Drosophila melanogaster: one gene and its partner. The protein of the gene in region 1 interacts with the protein of each later gene in a pairwise test. Each region holds a gene or a part of one and is shown on either strand. Other genes may lie near its edges. The genes, in order: CG34227 and l(2)k14505.

What was found.
Region 2: the proteins of CG34227 (region 1) and l(2)k14505 interact in a two-hybrid assay, tested with the Drosophila melanogaster proteins (one large-scale study listed by BioGRID).

What each region holds. Positions count from the first base shown.
Region 1 is NT_033778.4:11,245,998-11,249,300, forward strand, and holds CG34227 (uncharacterized protein), read left to right. Parts: upstream 1-2,128; 5' UTR 2,129-2,190; coding exon 2,191-2,505; 3' UTR 2,506-2,613; downstream 2,614-3,303.
Region 2 is NT_033779.5:21,259,142-21,262,915, reverse strand, and holds l(2)k14505 (lethal (2) k14505), read right to left. Parts: upstream 1,749-3,774; 5' UTR 1,682-1,748; coding exon 1,582-1,681; intron 1,505-1,581; coding exon 1,197-1,504; intron 1,140-1,196; coding exon 959-1,139; intron 904-958; coding exon 653-903; 3' UTR 505-652; downstream 1-504.

The DNA of each region.
Region 1 (3,303 bases):
CGTAAACAAGAACATTTAAATTAGTAAACAAGAAACAGGAATGCCAGTCGACTCTGTCTTTGGATCTCTGGATCGAATAAAAGACCGCAGCTTTGGTTCCAAAAGTTACAGTTGCACAAAGCAAAGATCCAAGCACAACCGAAGAAATCTCTCCACGAAATCACTGACCCGAAGTATCTGCAAGATGCGTCTAATCCTTCTGTCCATCGTTGGCCTCCTGTGTCTGGCCTATGCCCTCGCCCTGAATGAGAATGCAGCTGCTCTCGAGGATCTGGTCAATCTAGGAGCAGAACATGCCGAAAGCGGAGTGCGAGATGCTCGTGGTTAAGGTCATGGCAACTACGGACATGGCAACTACGGACATGGCAACTACGGACATGGTCATCACGGGGGTGGTGGTCATGGACATGGACATTATGGTCGCTAGTGTATTTATACATTTTTAAACTAACCCTGATGACAACACATATATTTCAAATACAATTTATTAAAATAAAGTAGGTTCTCTTCAAACTGCAATACGATGTCTTTAATAATAAAGAGGAAATCTGAAACTAATACTATAAATCAAAAAGTACTTCTTGTTCAAAGAAATCTTAAAGGTGCCAAAAGAACACACACATTGTGGTGAAATAAAAATGCTGACATGATAAATTTAAGATAAGCTGTTTTAAGCTTACTGTTTAAAAACTACAGTAATTGCACTAAAATTTTTTTAAGAATTATATTTATTAGATTAAATGAAGAAAAAACTCAAGGGCCAATGACGAGCCCCTTTTCTATATGAAAAATAAGGTAGAAGAGCTTTATTTTAAAAAAAGCTTCAGAACGTCCGATTTCAATTTTGTGGATTTTAAGTTTATTCACTAGTAAGATCCATATCCATACAAATCAGTAGGCGTGTTATTTCTTGACTCGCACGAGCTAATTTAGTCAAATTAGTTATTTGGTTATATTTTGTTTTGAAAAGTATTAGACGCCATACGGTATATTTCGATGGGAACCAGTATGACAACTCAAGTTTAACGGCTTGCACTCGTAAATCCCCAGTTGTTTACTTTTTAGATTCTAGATCAAGCAAGTCGATCTTGACATTCATTAAACAATTGAGAGCCTATTTGCATATGAATCCTTGTGAATGAGTACTATGTTAATTGGGATTAATGATTAGCAGATTTGTATTAAATATTATATTATTACACACGATATGCGATGAATAGAGGTTATACTAGACTCGTTTAAAATTATGTATGTAACAGGTTGAAGTATGCGTTTCTGATCATATAAAGTATATATATTTTTGATCAGGATCGCTATGTCTGACCATCTAGGGCAGCGCTCATGTATCAAAAGATTCTTTGTATTATTTGGTTCAACATGCACTTCTATTAGTACTAGCTAAGAAACGGGTATCTGATAGTCGAGGATATCGAATAAAGGGTTGCCTCATGTTTAACGCTCTACTCAGTATTCAACAAAATGTTATTAGGATTGACCTGACATCAACATGTCTGTTACAGTCCAGATTTAAGTCAAAGATTTGTTTATATGAAACTTAAACAATTTAAACCTACATGTAAATGGAAAGGTTTCTGTTCTGTATATTTGGCTTTGTTGATTAATAATTAATTAAATATGGCAATCGACCTGTCACTTAGCTGCCGATGCACTTTAGTAAAAACCCATAAAACAAAACAGGTCTCAATTGTTGGCAGTCAACGAATCCTAATCGAATGATCTATGTATGAAACCACTTAGGAGTAGCATCCCGACAACTTTCGCAAATGAGACATTAAAAATTTGGAATGATTCAGTAATGACAGCCAAAACAAAAAAAAAAAAACAAGAAAAAAATGGTACACAGAATAAAAAAGAGTGTAATATTTGTGTGGTGAAATATATAGCGATACAAACCAGAACCCGGTTAAAAAAGCCCCTAAACAATCGCACCTAGAGGCCAAGTAGGTATATAGTACATACACAGTATAGTACGACTATGGCAAGAGGTGGTGGTGGAGCTATTGGAGGGGGGTGCTGTGGAGAGACCCGACTCATCGATGCGTATGAGAACAGGAACGTCAAGTGGCGAGATCTTCGCATATAAGGCCCGCGATTGAGACGAACAAATCATCAGTTGCACGAGTCTGTCGAGTCTGTATCAGCAACCCATTGAATCAAGCAGAAAGCAAGATGCGTCTAACACTTCTGGCCCTCATCGGTGTCCTGTGCCTGGCATGTGCCTACGCCTTGGATGATTCTGAAAACAACGATCAGGTGGTTGGACTCCTGGACGTCGCCGATCAGGGAGCGAACCATGCCAACGATGGAGCCCGAGAGGCCCGCCAGCTCGGAGGATGGGGCGGTGGATGGGGTGGTCGTGGAGGATGGGGCGGCCGTGGAGGATGGGGCGGCCGTGGTGGATGGGGTGGCCGTGGAGGATGGGGTGGAGGATGGGGCGGTCGAGGAGGTTGGGGAGGTCGCGGAGGTGGTTGGTATGGCCGATAGAACGGCTGACGTCGCTGACCACGCCTCCGACCAATCCCACCACTTGCCAAGTCAGAAGGATACCCTGTCACCAATGTCATGGCGTGAATAAAGTACTTTGGAGCAATTAAATTTCGATTTTTATTTGGTATGCCTAACGAGTGGCGTTTTTAAACCCATTATTTACTATCAAGGGAAATATTCATAATAGAAAATCATCTCCAGTCGTCGGATTGAGCTAAAAGAAATCAGAAATCCTGGAAGCTCTCAATAATCTTCTATCCATAGGACCACTAAAAACACAGCTTCGAAGTCTTTAATAATATAAATTTTGGATCAATCTGTAATGATAGGCGGCAAAACAAAGTTCAGTGCGTCTAATTGTAGCAGAAAACTTATCTAACATCGCTGATGTAAGCCACAATTTGACCAGATCCACCACCTGCCAAGTGAAAAGGACACCCTCCCATGGGCTTAAATGTGTTATTCAGGACTAATGAAGCACTTAAACTTGATTTTCGATTCGTGTTCTTGAAAAGGTGTCAAACTGAAGTGGTGCATAGGCCTATTATTATTCCCTCTTAGGGGATATACTTATCCTGTCCAGCGTTTTAAACATACATACGCCCACACAAGCTTATTTCACTCTTCAACCGTCTGGACTTTAAAATTGAACACAGAGGTTGTTCAATATTTTCCATATTCATCAGACGGTAAAACATTAAATTCCTGTTTGTCATAATGGAACATTGGCGATAATGGAACATTGGCGATCAACCGGATAGTTTAGTAGCAGTACATTTAGACCTGTCGGTGGTT
Region 2 (3,774 bases), on another chromosome or scaffold:
AGTATTTATCAGAATATACCACACCTACGAAAAAAAATTGCTTAATTATTTTTGTTTTTTGAGACTTCCTCTAAGCGCCTATTACACTAGCACTTAATTTTTTCTTAAGTAAGATAAATAAATGTCCATGTTTTGCCAATGGGTTCCAAAAATAGGGTTCTATGTCAAGGTGCAAAAAAACCGAACCTTAAATTAGGATTAAACAAACTAAATATTTCTAAAATTTAGTAATCTCATTCAAATTTAAAAATGTTACATATATCCTACACATTTGTACATGTGTAGTTCCAAAAAACTTAATGTACTTCCTTATGTTCACTGCCTCCACGTATTGCTGTACCAGAATCCTTGTGGCTTACTAATTAAAATCAGAACTAAAATTCAGTTGTGTTATAAGAGACGTCAAAAGAGTATGTTACTTTCGTGCTTAAAGAAAGTATGAAAAAATGATAATATAAACCGTATTATTACAACAAAAAAAAACCGGTAAGAGCTAAAAAAAAAGGGAGGATGACCTGACCTTGATAAGTTTCAAACTAGGCACGATTTATATACATCTATTATTATGTCCTAGGTCCTAGGAGACCTACATACGTGCTACCATAACCCTGTGGTAGTCAGCTCATATGTATGTTGAACAGGTATTTTAATTTTAAAGAATTATCTTTTGCTTAACAAGGTTTTCCGAACAGTTAAGGTGTACGAAGAGCACGGCAGCCGCCAGGCGTGCTTGCAACTCCTGTTGGCTTAAATCATGTGCCCACTCCACGCGACCCCAGAACTTAAGTTGGTATTCTTCCTCTAGACGCGCCAGGGCCACAGCCTTCTCCACGGTAAGCATCTGCTCGATGACGGCGCAGGCAAGGACAATCGACTTTAAGGTGTCCACAGCGAAAATGAAGCCTGGAGGAAAATATATTTAATAGACGTTGAACTCCAGACTTATGGTCTGCATTACCATGCAGAGTTTCCAAACTGTAGGACTGAAAATGCTTTGCGACATTCATTTTATCCTGCTCGCTGACCTGAGGCGGCGTTATGTTCATGGTCTTCTGCAGGTTTGTGTCGTAGCGCTGGTTGAACCAGGCGATCACCGGGTCCCATTCATTCACCTGAAGGTCCTGCAGGTCCTTTTCGTCCTGCAAAAGATATATGTCTGTGGAATGTGCACTCTAATTCTCAGTTGATTCACTCACATCGTACTGGAAGAGCACCGTGTCTGTGGCGATGAAGTTGAGAAGGTAGTTGACCATGTCCAACTTGGAGAGGTGATTGGGATTGTCAATGGCCGTGAAGCAGAGCGCGGATAAGTGCATGCGGGAACGCTCGATGTTTTCCTTCTGAGCGTCGAACTCAGTGGCTACAGCAATGGCCAGGGGTTCGCTGCGGACGATGAAGGGTGTGCCCTTGGGCGTTTTCAGTTTCCGGTGATCCAACACCACTTCATAGCCGCTGTCGCCGCTCAGTACGGAAGTCTTCTTGTAGAATCGCTTGGGAGGAGAGGCTGCAGGAGAAGAACCGCCGATCGCGGGATGTTATGAAATGGCAACACACGTTTTTATTCTGGCTATCGCGGCTTACCATAGTGGCGCACAGTGAAACTGCTAGCGGCTCCTTTGCACTGGCTGAAATTGGTCAACCGGAGAGCTCGGATGGCGCTAACTACATACTTTCCGTTCATTTTTAGAGTTTGTCTGCCTGTCTACTTGTCTTCAGCTGTTTAACAGCAGAGTTGAGTTTTCAGTGTGGCTGTAGTACTTTTTCCACAAATCTCAATAAATCAGTCGTAGGTACTGTTTACCTTTCTGTGCTACTCCACTGCCTTCATAAGGACATCGAGGGTATTCCCTTAGAGGAATTAATCGCCATTTATAGCTTCTAGTCGAGTAAGCTTTTAACACTTGGGTCTCTTTTAGCGACTGCAGATGTCACTATGCGCACTAATTGCATGTGCGGTATTTTTAAAAAACTTGTTTGTTTTTATTAATTTCTGACTATTGGATATGACCATTGTATATGTTTGGCCTCATCATATTTTTGGCACATCGATACAATGTGCAAGACAAATGATAAAATCAAAACCTTTTCCAAAACTGTAGCAGTGACAGTTGTGGGCGTTAGTATGATTGAGGCAACGTTCTGAAATAAGCTTGCAACGCTGAAACTTTAGCAACATATTCTAAGATAGTGGTGGCTCTTTCTAACCATCTAAACACATTCCTTTATAAGAATTTTATTTAAAAATATGAATCCTTATTTTTGGGCAAACAAATGTTCTAAAGTTGTAACATACAAATTTTCAAATGGATTAATTCGTACCATTATAAAGTATGTATATATATTATTACTAAATTATTCTGTACTACTAATGTGGGATGTATAGATTACACATACTAGTTTTGTTGTAACTTTCGGTTGCTACTTTAAATTAGAAAAAATCTGTATCCACCATTAAATTATAAACTCATGTCTTTATATAAGCAATACAATAAAATAAATTAATTTGTAACCAATGAATAACTAACAACATATACATACATATATATATATATATCGGGTAACCGTTCAGTCTATAAATTTCAGGACCTGTTGCAAGCACTCATTTATCAATCATTCTATCCCAAACATAGTTACTGTTACATTTTTTGTGTTGTTCAATGTTTTGATTAAAAGCAGATATGGAGCGTGCCTACATAAACATCGAGAAAAACGAGGATAATAATCAAACTTTTGAAAAATGTTTTGATATTTATTCATATTTTTATTAGTCTTAAAAATTTCTGTCGATTTGCCAAACAACTTTTTGACCCGCCCATTCTATAGCCCTAAAACCGCAAAAAACTGCCACGCTGTTTGATAAAAATTGATCAAAAATGGCAAAATATTGATTAAAAACAAGAGAGAATGCTATAGTCGACTTCCCTGACTAGCAACCTTCTAGCTTTTATCGTTCCTGAGATCTTGACGTTCATACGGACAGACGGACATACCTAGATCGACTCGGCCATTGATCCTGATCGAGAATATACTTTACATTGTCGGAAACGCTTCCTTCTGCCTGTTATATACTTAACAAGGAATCTAATATACCCTTTTACTCTATAAGAATTTTGACGTATCAGTTTATTCAAACGAAAGGGCAGAGCCAGATTGAATAAGCTGTTGGGAACATTTCCTTTTACCTGTTTTCAAGGAATCTAGTATACCCTTAGGCTCCGTAATAACAGTGAAACTAATATTGATTTTTCGCATTTTTATTACAAAATATTGCATTGACAATTGTATATCAATTATTGTTGAATTTTACTTATTAAATTTATTTAAAAGCAAAATTGAGTTTTAAATTTAATAAATGATGAATTTGTACGTAGCTAGAGCAAACATCACACGCAAGGAAAACTGTTTTACATTAAATATTGCGCTATGGGTTTATTATTTTTCTTTAACTATTTAAGCAATGCGCCTAGAGGGAAAATTGCGTAACTTTGTGTATTCATAAAGAATTATTAAAAATGAGTTTGTTGTTAACGTAATAAACATTATAAATTGTTTGCGTGTGCTTTGCTTAGTAAATAAAATATTTTTGATTTCAGTGGTCTTAATCAGTTAACTATGATAAATGTATTGAAATTTATTATAGCGCTTTATTTATAAATAAACATTTAACTAATTTCATTTATACTTATGGTTTACATTAACGGACAGAAGCGGTGTACGGCAGAAGAACACGATCAATATGAACTGAGATCCTCATGTTTCATAGATACAACTGAT